2 linked regions of the Styela clava genome follow. The protein of the gene in region 2 purifies or fractionates together with the protein of the main gene of each other region. This does not show direct contact. Links are inferred from orthologs where the notes say so. Each region holds a gene or a part of one and is shown on either strand. Other genes may lie near its edges.

Region 1 (6,911 bases), on a different chromosome or scaffold from region 2:
GAAAATTACTTGATAAATTGAAAATGAGAATGGAACTACTGTATATCATATTCAAATTTGTAGGCTATATATTGTGACAATATGGATAAGATAATTTGTGAATTATTACCAGTAAAGAGCATGTGATATCGGTCAACGTAACAGAATATTCACAAACAAAAGCAGACATGAGGATTCTACTCAACCAAAACAGCAACCATTACAAACAGGCAAGTCATAGTTTTAATCCAGTAATACAAAATACTCATAATTACCATTAAGTACGGTACATTTAAAATTTTAAGACACAAATGCACAGATCTGTGGCTCGACAAAACTGTGTCAAAGTGTCACATTTATAGTCAAGGCAGAGCAGAGCCAAATGGCAAGGTTCTTATTGCCCACCCTTCGAGGTTAAATTCCTAATGACTACAAGAAGCTGCCCCCTAAACATATACTTTAGTCTGCAATTATTTTTTTGCATACTAAGAGACTCATTTTCGTTAATTTAAACTCGCAAATTTCCTTCAAAATTTCCAAAAGTATTCCTTGTTGATTTTGATTTTGAAGTTGAATGAAGCAATACAAAAAATATTTCCAACTGATAATTTGATGGAAATTTCTAAAAATTGTAAGATATTACTAACCTATTGGAAGGATAATATTATTTTTCAGTCAATATATTTAGCACCAATTTTTTTTTCGTATTTCTTTTGCAAATGCTTACTATATATACTCATTTCAGAATATAGAGTCTGAGTAAGATAAGGGTATATGAACATGTTTTTGATATGTATGCTCTATCACGAATGTATAGATGAGAATCATTCGAAAAATCATTACCTAATTCAACGATTGGTAGATGGAAAAAAAGGGTTCTAGAATATCAATTCATTCGAACATGGAATCCTAAGTGAAGACATCGATAAATATTCAAAAATCACTAGCTTTTAATATTATACTTAACAGTTGGCATTTTACATCCCACCATCAACAGCTCTAAGCACCATGGCTACAAAATAATATAATTAAAAAAGATTCATTTCTCAACTTTATGAATTATGAAATAGATCCTGCGTTCCACATCACAATGGCCTAAAATTTACATTTTGATACCTGACGCTGCAATTTTTCTCAGCAAATAACAATATTAAGACATGATACACACATAATATTTTGACACTAATCATCAAGTCCTAATCATAAAATCTAAAACAACAGATGGAAACAAATATGGGCGGAGTCAACTTTCCAACACAAAAATTGATAGCAAAACAAGACGTGAGAAGATATTTAACGATTTTGACAAAAATAACATGATTTGACCAATACTATTATTAGTAAAAAGTTTTCCGAACAATTTTTCCACAAAACGAAAACAGCTCGTATTTGGAATAAGTAAGATTCACCGAAATCCAAACTCTTTTTTAAAATTGTGACTATCGTCATGAATTATTTTTCAAAAACTTTTATTTGAATAAGTCTCCTCGTTAGGTTTTGGACATTCCGAAGTATATTAGGTCGAACAAAAGGTCACAACACAACGAATATTGCTAAAATGAGTGATTGATGCCACATTTACCATTCAAAATCAAGGCAATCTAAAATTCATAACCAGTGCCAATCATATAAATTGTTTTGGTTATTCCTAATATCTCGACATAAATCCAGATATTACATGCATTACAATGATGCTTGTAAAACAATAAAAAATTGGATGAAATTCCTTCAATTAAAATGTAAATAACATAATGTTATGATAAGTTTACAGCATATGTTTATATAATAATTTGGCATCAGTTTGAACATCACTTTTATGAATTGTAATTTTTCTTACTGATAAATTTAATATCAATATAATGTTGACAGTGAATAAAAGCCAAAACCATTAACCCTTAGTTACCATACAATTGTAAGTTTTCATATTAGGAATAGGTCAGTCAAATGCGATCTTTCCGCTGGTTTTCTCAGCTAACTACAATAGAGTGAATGCAGTTTCCATAAAAGTTGAGCACAATCACAATAGAGTTTTGATGTTCGAGACGCTATATATTCAATGAATATAATTATTTCCAAATTACATAAAATGGAGGAAATATCATTCAAACGACGAAACCATTGAAATATTTGACTTGTTTTTATAACACACTCAGTCTGGGACACATTTATTGATAAAAATTTTCTAATAAGGAATAAAATATTTTTTGTTGCTTATGAAGGCATTCAGGTTGCTTGAACCTGTCTTATGTTTCCGTGATCTTTGTGGTATTTTTCCACAATTTTTCTAACATGGTCCAGTGCTTTTGCTTCTTTACCATCTTTGGCAATACAATCTTCAGACCTATACGGTGGATTTATTAAAACTTCATCCATTACTAATATACTTTTATCATTCCACCTGCATTGCTCAATGGTTTTGAAAATAAACGCAAAGACTTTCAGTCCATCTGGGGTAACACCCATACTTGAACCTTGCGCCATGTTGACTTTTGCCTGAATTTCCTGATTGAGACGTTTTCTTAATTTTGTGTGGGATATAGCACACAATTCAAAATCTTGATCAGCCCCTTCCTTTAGAACCTTGATATCACTGACATTCGACAAATTCAACAATGAGATGTTGTTCGTATTTGCCTTTCCGCTTGTTGATGGATGCTTTAGAACCAATGTTTTCGTTTGGTAATCAAAAGCAATAACTTCACCCGTAATCTTCTCACCCAAATAAGTGACACACGACACTTCGCTGCCCATGCTGAAAAACTCGTTACTGGTCGCGTTGTTGGAAGCCATGTTTCCTGATTCGCGACCACCCAAACGTAAGGGTTACCTCCTCCAGACCACCACAATAGTCCTTTACAAAATAACAAGTATCATGGAGCCCTACTTTTTACGTTGGCCCACAACCTTTAAAATTTCAGCCAGGTTTTTATCTCTATTTCCGTTTTTCCAGTTCCGTCTCGGAATGTTGATCAACACATGGATGCGTCACCTCCAATACGCGAGCAACAGACCGATGGAAAATTGCGGTCGAATAGTGACATCTTGTGGGCATGTTGTCATTTCAATATAAAATATTTTCAGTTGTTATCGGATTAATTAACAATGTTATCGCAAAAATTACAGTGTAAAGAACAAAAGTCAAATATTACAAATTATAAAAGATTAGTTGCAGTTAATTCAAAACGGTATGAAGAACGCGATACTAGTCAAATTCTGTTCACATTATTAAAATTTGAGTATGCACAAAAGATTACCAAGCATAGCGTTATTTTATAGTTGTTTTACACTTCGCCTAAAAAATATCGTGGACAGGTTGTACTTAGCGATTGTGGCTGATTTCCATATGTCGAACGCAAACTTTCGTCCCCGACATAGAATAAGCCGAATAGGATTGCTTGATTCTTGTCGCTTTAATCAGAACACTAAATAAGTTAGCTATATGAAAACTTCACCGTTGGGTATAGAAATTGCACGCAGTTGGCACATTTGTCTGATATTTTTCTAACAATCCTATCCCCGTAGTAAATCACACACCTTTTATCAACCGAATTCGTCTCAATGCTGCCCTTCAGTGGCGTAAGTATCGATTCGCCTGCTGTGCTGTGCTCCGTGGTTCTTTGTAAGTTTTAAATAATGAAGTGTGATATACGAAACGCTATGTTATATCACTGCGACGACACCGCTCGATCGCCACAGCATCAGGATATAATGAAACCCAGTGTTTATTATCTTTGGTCTTGCTGTGAATTATAATAAGTATATTTTGAATAGATGAATCATATTTTGATATAGGCGAATTGCTGAATTGTGTGCTGGGGGCGTACGGCCAGCGGTCCGTACCGGGTACTGCTGTACCGGTACCGGTACCGGTACTGATCGAGTGATCGTACGGTGCGTTTAAGGATAGGATAGCATTTAGACTACATATTTATCCCGGGGGAAAGGAAAGTCGATAAGACGGCTTAATCATATGGCAGTATGGCGAACCACGGCCTCTCGTCCGGTTACCAGTTCAGGTTGGGGGTATCGTATGGGATTAGTTAGCCAGTTATTTTTTTTTTTTTTTAAAAACCGAACCTTGCTGCCTTGTGGATTTGATAATAATTTTAATACATATAATTTTTCTTATATACCGGTACGGTAATAATTTTTTTCGTATAACAGTATAGTATCATATCTGCGTATAGATGTGTCTTACAGTTCTGCAGTTACAGGGAATAAAAATAAATTCTAAAATAGGATGTGAGGATTTCATTGTTGTTCCTGTTTTGTTAGACTGTTAGAGATGAAATTTATAAACTTACTGATGTGAGCCTCTCGCTGTCTCAGTCCTGCAATCAGATTATAAAAAATGCGACGAACACGGTCAAACAGTGTTGCTGATATTGCAAAGCGTTCACTGCGCAGTACACACAATGAAGAATTTTGCGAGATTCCTACAGTATTTCGGGTTCGGTCTCCAAGAGCAGGTAGAAATGTATTTTTTGATATTTGTCATTTATTATTTGTTTCAAAATTTAATTTGCATTGTAAAACTCTGCGAATATTTATTTACACAACAAACCACACAAACTAATATTACTATATTATCTGTCTGCCAGTCTGTATTCAAATCTCCCATACATCATTGCTTGAATCTTATACAGACTGTTCTTTGATCTTTCAGCTCCTGATTCAAATTTCCCAGAGAAGTCGCCAACAAGACGAAGCTTACGATTGCAATCTGGAGAGGAGAATGAGTTGAAGGATGGCATAAAATATCGTAAAAGAAGGTTTCAAACTTCACCTGATGATAACAAAGTTATCACGAATGGGAGTAGAAGAACAAAATCAGATTTGAAGGAAGAATATGAAGCAAAACCTTTGAAAGTTTTGCGGAGTGAAGATGCAGGTAAGATTCTATTACTTGGTGTCTGTGTTTCTGGGTAATTTCCATATGTTATGTTTCACATACCCTATGACTGTATGGAAAAGTGTTGCAAGGTTAGCAGCCCCCGACACCACTGGCATCATGGGTATCGTATTTTACGGACCATGAGACGCACTTTGAATCTTTTTTTCTTTCAAAAATCTGTTGTGCGTCTTATAAGCAGGTGCACCTAATGTAAGGATCAGGTTGTGCTTCATGCTTTATTGCCACACTCAAAACCAATACCGGTATTTAAAAAACGTTGCAACTTCTACTCCGATGCGCCTTCTATGTGAATAAAATTCCAATGTAAGCAATTTATCGACAGTGCACCTTATGGTCCATAAAATACGGAAAATGGCTGGGTGAAGCTTCTATCTTAATTGGGTACTCTCGAAGTATGTGAACCAAAATTGCGGACACCTGAATGTAGTATGTGTACCAGATTAGGGTTAGGTCATAATTTTATTAAATTTTCCTTATTTTAGTTCTATTACAAGTTCGGGGACCAGCCAATTGACTCCCGTAGTATTTGTACCTGAAATTATGGCCTAACTCTAACATGGTACACATACTACGTTCCGGTGTCCGCTATCTTGGTTCACATACTTCGGGAGTACGCCTAATTGAATACTTTGTTGTAGCAGTGTATGATGTCATTTTTAGAATGTCTTCAACAAGACTCGAACGTATTTCTTCTAACTTATTGCTCTCTATTCGTACATGCTAATGTCACTCCACATGGCCTAGATTATTTGAATAAAATTATTTGTTATTTTCAATTAATTACTGATAAACTTTTCAGATGCTACAAATTCATTGCCAATTGAAAATGGGATGCATAGACGAACTCGTCAAAAGCATGAAACATCAGAAATTAATGGTACAAACCATTCCACTCCTATGAAGAAAGAGGACAAGTCACCTACAACTCCTAATTCATATTCATGTTCCAAATCATCTGCAAGTGAACTGTCATTAAGAAATTTTCAACATGACGAATATGCAAATTTTTCACCACGAAGGACTAGAAATTCACCACGGTGTTTGAGATCATCTCTATCAGATCATAGTTCCAATTGTATTACTCCTACGGAATCGTCTACAGACTTTCTTTCGAATCATAATTGCAATAATAAAATGAAACAAAAAGCATCGAGAGTTAATAAAGACAAAGACATGAAGGAGACGAAAGATTGTGAATGCCATTCCAATCTAAATAAAACTTTTCCTATTGCAAAAGACGAAACTTGTCAACATTGTGGTAAATTACAGTCATATAGCCCAAGAAAAAATGGCATAATAACAAACGGTTCAATGAATAAAAGTACTTTCGAAATTTCTCCTCGCAGTTTACGAAGTAGTGCAAATGCTGTAACAGCTTCTTCAGTATCGTCTATCAAATGTGCTGGATCCCCAATGGCAGCAGAAGAGGCTTCTGAGAAGGAAAACTCGAAGGTGCGATTTATTTCCATGTCATCTTTCATGGTATTACAGGTTGAATCGGAGAAAATCTCCAATTGCAGTTGCTGTGAATTAATGTTGCGTTTTAGCAGACTTCCAAGACAACCATTTGCCTGCTTCAATTTTATCAAAACCCAACCTCAGTACTTTAGCTCGCCGTATATTATCTAGTGCAATTTTATTTTTCTCTCTGACCTTGAAACATCTAGAATGCGAGAAGTTAATAGATTTTTTGGGGGAAATTAAAGCAATGGTTTATTGGCTACTGGGTGCAGAATTTTGTACATTTAAAGTGAAAGATGTACTGACTATCACTATAAAAAAAAGCAATAAAATAATTTTCGAGCCCCGGATGGCCTGCATTCTAGACTCTGTATCCCCATTTCCCATAAAGATATTTAAAATCGTTGTCTACAGACCCTCACAAAAATCTATTTAGTGTTTTCTCGAAATCAAATTTTTTTTTAGTCTTTTGAAAATAATTCCATCTCAAGTCATTTACGAGGAAATAGAAGAAAAGTTGAAAACGATGTTCAAAATATCACAGACGACAATATAC
Region 2 (6,967 bases):
AGCTTCTGACTTGATGTGGTTGTTTCTCCTTCACCACATGATAGTTGGACTATAGACAAAACTTAGATTATTCTAATTATGGTTCTATTTATAATAATAGTGTATGAAGCACAGCGAAGCAAACAAGTACATTATCCACATAAAATATTTCACTGCTTTGTAAGAAAATAGGTATTCATAATTTACTCATCTTTCATTCTGTATTTAAATTTATTCTATAATTTCCAAATCTGATTAGCTACCCTGAATGTATTACTAATAAAGACACATTATATTCCTAAATATAGAAAAGCTATTATTACCTTTGGGTTAAAAGTATGGAAAACCCCTTCATAGGAACCACCATTTTTTACTTTAGCCTGGCATTTCTTTCCCTGGAATGAAACACAAAGGAGAATTAAACTAATTTTTTAAACTAATATTACAATGCTTACTCAACACATAATCATGATTGATTAAGTATGACCAGATATCAATCTGAAACCAAGGTTCTAGGAACTATGATTCATTATGTTTACCTACCACGAGAGACAGAAGAACATGAACCAGACGTGCATTTCCATATGCTCCTTCATATGGCTGAAAAATGGAATAGTCAAAATAGGAATAATGAATTTCTCACAAAGCAAATTAATAAATGTCACAGATTGGGTTTAAAAGACGAATTTATTTTAAGAATAATAGGAGGAATAACCATTTCACAATCTCAATATTTATTAGAAATTTCAAGTGTGGATATCGAAAATAAATACAAATTCTTCAAATTTAACCGCTCCACACCAATTAGGTATATCGATGAAAAATTGCTTTGCTGATATATGCACTGCATGGCATATGTTATATTTGATTTGGGTTTATTCCTCATAATACATTGCATTGGCACATGTAAGAATACTATTCAAATAGTAGTTTGATTCCCCTATTGCTGAAATATCATATTCATTAGAACTGAGTTTGTAAGAATTTCAGTTTCTTTTGGAAAACCAAGTTGAGTTTCTATATGAAGCTAATATAGAAGTGTCAGAAATTTATAAAAAGATCAATATGGAAAGGGAAGTTTAGAAAATAATTAGGATAATTCAGTAAATTATATTCATCTAGATTATTTGCATACCGGACTTTGATTCTGGCTAGAATTCTTCTTCGACCCCGGCCTGAAAAAAAAATAATGATAAATGTTCCCTACTTTAACCGAATAAATTTCCTTGCCTATTTTGGGTTATGTTTCAAACATCTCACGAAAGTATATCATATCTACAAATCTGACTTGAACAGCAAGGGAACAGAGTTACATCGATCAGTTTTGTAATGATTGATATAAAAACAAATGGAACTGCAGGAAGTAATAAAGAAATGCGACAAACGTAAAAGGTTGAGACAATAAATGTAACAGTGTTATTAAAAAGTGTGCGACATGGTAATAAGGTTGTAGTATGAAAGAAAATATCCTACTATAAAACACTGGGAACATTTGAATATTTAATGGGCTGGCATTTCACAAAAGTAAATTTACGAAGTCTATATGACAAATATAGGAAATGTTCAGGGCATCTCTACAGAGAACTGTTACAGAAATACATTTGTGTTAGGGTACAAAAAGAATTTAATAACTGATAAATTTATTTAAAATTAGAAAAAAAGCATATATAAAAGCGAGGGCAAACTCACCTCACATTCTTTGACTTTCTACCTTTGCTTGCTCCAGACATTTTGGATTTGAGAATTTATCGATGAACGATTAGTTGTCGTATCAGTTTCAGCATTGACATGAAATTATCATAAATACAAAGCTTGATTCAACACTTGGTTGCATAAAATCGCTTCATGAAAAATGTTATTTCACTATTTCACGAAACAGTGTATACATTTTCCGCAATTAAAAAGATGAAAATTGATCCGATGTACTTCTTTTAAGAACCAGATTCCAGAATTTTCATTTCAGGTTGATTTCAAACCTTCCTAGTTTTCTTTGCTTTGAATCATCAAAAAAATTTTGAACAATAAATTTGATAAGGCTATTATAGAATAGCAATTATTGGTCACTTTCAAATTTAGAAAGCCTGATTTGGCAATAAGGTAAATAACCTAAAAACAAAGTATGTTATAACTAATTTCAAAACAATATATTACGGACAAATTGGTTATTATTTACAGCGTAAACTTGAGAATTCCATACTACCGTAATCACTAACAAATTGCAATTTAAAAATTCCATTTTAGGTAAACTTGGATAAATTACAAAAAGGTTTAGCCAATAAGAAAAAATTTCAAAAATAGCCAATGAGGAAAATTTCAAATCAAGATTTTTTGCGAACTGGCAAGTACATCCAAAATTGTACCAAATGTGTAATTAGTTCATGCTGCCTCTCGCAATAATAGCAACTTGATAAAAATGCATAGCTGTTACAGCAGCGTTTTCCAACCAGGGAGATATTACAGAAAAATAACTTTGTATTCGGTGTAGCTTACTAATATTGTTTAGTCAAAAATTATTACTCAGTTATTGTTATAAATATTTATGCACACACTATAAAAATTCCAGCCATACGAAAGCTAGAGTGCAAGTTGCACACTCTCTGTGGTTGAAAATGGGGTGCTTTGAACTTATTTGATTTATATACCTAGTCAGTTATTTATTTTTGTTAATATTGCTGTCACTAGGTTATAATTTCTATAAAATTCCCATAAAAGATTCATGATACAAAAAATTCATTCATCAAAATATTTACTAGCATCGTTATGACGATCATATTCAACTACAATATAGAGCTGAGAGTATGACTCGAGATGCATCAAATTCTTCTGCACACTGCCTGACTGCAGAGTATGACTGAATGAGGTCAATTTTGAAGTCTCAACGCAGATAGATGTTCAAAGTTCTGAAATGCTAAACGTTCTATTCGAGGTTGAGTGTGAACAGTTGAACAATGAGCATATTTTTCACTTTTAAAAATAGCAAATTTTTTTGGAAAAATTTATACAATCCATAATGCTGTAATGTGAAAATCATTGCTAGTGCATGTTTTATACGTGAATGAACTGTACGGTACTGATTTATGCAACAGTATGACAGTGCTGTATCATACTGCTATACTGATATTTTCATAGGTGTAATATCAGAATATCTTGCCCGGTAGGGTACCGTACCGTACTGCACAATACTACAATAGGTCAGTTGGTACTGTGGTACGTTCTGACGTTACGGGTATATCTGTACTGTACAATCAGACAATGGTTTCTAACAGTTGAGGTTGCGTGAAACTAACTACCTTTCCTTGCTTTCTATGCGTTTGCGCAGGTGGATCCGTATGCGTATTATGCAAGGATGCTGTAGCAAGAGTGTAAATGGCTATTCTATTCAATTTAAGAGTCTTGCTGCACACGAACACACATATATTTCTGTAACAGTTGAGTCTGACCTCAGTCAGACGAAACGTTACATAAATATATTTGTGTTCGTGTGCAGCAAGACTCTTGAATTGAATAGTACAATGGTTTCGTTACCATACCGTATGCTGAATTGCTGGTACATCACATGCTGACATGCGTGACCCATTTATGCATTTAGAAAAACTGATACCGGTTTCGGTACGAGTACCGGTACGGTACCGTGATATTTTGACAACAATGTCCTAGCTAGCCTATAATGTATTGTTCATAAATCAGTCATCATGGATAGTCTACTTATTATTTCATTACTACCAAATGTTAAATATTCTGATAGTTTACTTGTACCGAAACGCATTGATGGCGCAGCCGAAACTGAAAACAAATTTATCAGACGCAACAACGTCTAAAATACGAAGCCGCGCGACATGTGATGCCAAAGTCTCCTTCATCATCGACGCAATGACGCAACATGGTTTTGCGCTTTTTATCGGTTTCCATGATCGCGGGCCTGTCTGATAGATCTGTCGCTTGATCTAACAAATTCACTTTGATATTCTGCCACAGAGATATTCATATCTGGTTCGATCATTACAATTTTGAAGTCCGATTTAAGCTGCTAATAACGATAGAGCACAAAGTTGCACCAATTGACGCTATTTATCAGACGCTTCCTGTGAAGATTTTGTGAGAATGATCAGTCAACGCACTTGCTTAGGGGTTGGAATAAGAATTTGAAACATTATCTTGAATTCTTAGGGCCCGTCCATTCACCACCATCTTTGTACCAACTAAACTCTACCAAAAGCGCAATTATGTTAGGAGAACAAAATCGAAATTTTACTTTAAAAAAAGCTGTTGCAGCACTGATTCGCGAAAATGGCCATAGAAGTGCCGCAATGGTAATTTATGGGAAGAATGTATATTTCCGCACCTAAATATGTCATTGACGTGACCAGTGGAACTTACAGTTTCTGCCAGAGCCATTACGATCGAAAGTCATAGCATCTGCCCCGACTAGTGGCAGGTGTCATTTACGCGAAAATCCCTGGACGAAATCTTACACGAATGCGAGGATCTCGAACTAGCGCGTCCTTTCAGACGCCGACCGTCGAGAAACATGCCATGCATGAACGGTCATCAAAAATCCACCCAAAGTCGTATTGTTACTGAAACCTAGTTTCACAAAAGTTCACTCTTACATGTCTTTAAACTTATGGTGAAAATATCCGTCATGGTCTGATAAAAAATTAATAGGTAAAAGTGTTCAGAACATTCCGTGTTCTATTTAACTAGCTGTAATATTTAACTCGCTATAATTCCATCTCAGGCACAAGCAGATTTCATAATTTTTTCAAGTATCATTGTATTGTTTATAAACAGAAGGTGATTGATATGAAAATACAAAGGATATAGCAGCTCTAAATAAAAAAATATATATCTAAAACACATTTTGGATGCAGTCGTCACTGAATCTAGTACAAAATATAAAAAACAGCATCCATTATTCACAAATGATAGCAATGTAGTATATAATCAACATGTTAACAACAACAAATTAAAAAAGGTATAAATTCACAAAAAAACATTCCTAGTTTGTTTATCAATGTGTTACTCAATGTTTTGGCAATAATTCGGAAAGAAAGATGTGCAAACTAAATTTCAAACGCAACACATATAAAAAAAAATTTCAATCAAAACACCTGAGAACTGAGACCGTAGCCAAAAAGTCAAAAATTTCATATTCAACTCAATCTGAATCATCTAGTATATTTTCAGTCATAACTACTAAATCCTTGAGCATCTCTGCAGTACAATCATTCACATTTTCAGTCGAATCGGTATTGCTCGAAGCTGGTTTAGCAGGAACTGATTGGGTTGCACTAGAAGTCGTACAAGGTTCAACCACTTTGCCAATACTAGTTCCATCAGTGCTTTTCAATTTAGGTTTATTTACCGATGTGTCAATGTCAAGTTTTCTTGCTTGTGCGCGAGCCTCTTTGAAGGTTGACGAAAGACCTTGCTGTCGTAATGTAGCCTGTAAATATTTAAAGAACATTTTAATTTTATTCAAAACTTTAACTTGTGTTAATTCATACTTTATACCAAAAGTCAGGTTCATTTTTTTGTGATTTTTTTTATGCCCGTTGACGCCGATGGGCAAAAACAAATCTTGCATATATAGAAATTCATCAAAATAACTACGAATATACTACCATATATTTGATAATTAGCTTGAAACCATGTGGTACAAACATGCCTAGCCCTGTAAAAAATTAATTAGCAGAATTGCTATAAAGCGAAAAAGTACAACTTGAAACGAATACCATTAGAAGATTATTATCCATTTTTAAACTTTTCACTCGAGTTTGCAATTTTTCAGTTTCTTGTCTGCATTCTTCAACAACTGCTTGTAAATTTTCAGCAGCTCTTTTCTTCTCTCGAACTGCATTTCTGTAAAGTAATTATACATGTAATGAAAAATAAAACAGAAACAGAGAAAGCACGAGAGCTTTGTGACTAAACAACTTGTTAAAAGTAAAATGCATATCTGAAGAGTAACGTTAAATCTCGGCCATCATCATCAGCCAGCTTCCAATCATTATATAGTTGAAGAGATAGAAAGATTGTAATTCAAGAAACAACATTTATGCTAACGAATAAATATATGCTATAATGCATAAAAACATTCCACAGTTTGGATATAGTTTGTTGGGGTCAGTTTGCAAGAACATGAAGATTATTGAGGCTCATGTCATGACCCGTTGTGTTTCACTATGCTTAAGCATTCATGTAACAGTAAATATGGTAATATAAAAAATATATATATAAATATGAAGTAATTTAACTATGTCGAAGTTAATATTCAATGATACATGTTTCATGCTTAGTTTCGAAAGTTATTTTATGAATCAAATGATATTTGTTAGATTATGATACAAGCAAATATATGATGATGAGAAACAATTACCGTTCACTTTGTCTTGAAGTGACAACAGTTCTAGCATGCTCCCTTTGTGATTCCTCGAGTCGTTTCTCCAACTCTCTTTTTTCTGCATCCCACGTTTTCCATGCTTCTTCCAATTTCTTTTCAATATCTGGAATACAGAATGATGTGGTTTGTAAACTTCCCAAAATTCGCTGTCTTCTTAAACTCAAAACATGGGAAGTCAGAATGTGGGTCTAAATTTGTGTCAGATTGAAGTTATGACAGATAATTTGCATATTGAATTATTTTCATAAATATTTACTTACCAAATATACATTTCACTATGATATTTTGAACTGTCATTTTAATACCTAATCTAATATATACAAACCTATAAAACATGAAAATTAAAGGGTATAAAATATGTCAGATTGTTAAAAAGAATTATCCGTAAAAAAGCACCTTCAGCACAATTCTCTTTAGCGGCTTTTTCACTATCTCTTGCATCAGAAGCTATTCGCTCATAATCCTTCAGTCTATCCTCCATCGATTCTATTTGAATTTTGCACTCTGCAATCTCCTGTTTTTGAACAAATGAAAATTCTTCATAATCTATAATAAATCTGTATAATATAGGGCATGGGGACATAG

The links. Proteins that work in one complex are often made in the same cells at the same time.
Region 1: the proteins of uncharacterized protein LOC120343555 (region 2) and protein LSM12 homolog A-like purify together in Homo sapiens (affinity purification with mass spectrometry; 4 studies listed by BioGRID and IntAct, with this or other methods). This does not show direct contact. The link is inferred for Styela clava from reciprocal best matches to the Homo sapiens genes ATXN2 and LSM12.

What each region holds. Positions count from the first base shown.
Region 1 is NC_135254.1:9,556,714-9,563,624, reverse strand, and holds the start of protein LSM12 homolog A-like, read right to left. Parts: upstream 3,006-6,911; 5' UTR 2,770-3,005; coding exon 2,203-2,769; 3' UTR 1-2,202. Other genes in the region: uncharacterized protein LOC120344576, read left to right, coding at 4,331-4,448, 4,646-4,870, 5,694-6,346, 6,821-6,911. UniProt on the Homo sapiens protein: Nicotinic acid adenine dinucleotide phosphate (NAADP) binding protein. Confers NAADP sensitivity to the two pore channel complex (TPCs) by acting as TPC accessory protein necessary for NAADP-evoked Ca(2+) release.
Region 2 is NC_135252.1:15,480,372-15,487,338, reverse strand, and holds the start of uncharacterized protein LOC120343555, read right to left. Parts: upstream 3,029-6,967; 5' UTR 1,710-3,028; coding exon 1,669-1,709; intron 1,155-1,668; coding exon 1,115-1,154; intron 580-1,114; coding exon 523-579; intron 375-522; coding exon 303-374; intron 1-302. Other genes in the region: uncharacterized protein LOC120342220, read right to left, coding at 5,138-5,425, 5,715-5,841, 6,359-6,485, 6,779-6,896. UniProt on the Homo sapiens protein: Involved in EGFR trafficking, acting as negative regulator of endocytic EGFR internalization at the plasma membrane.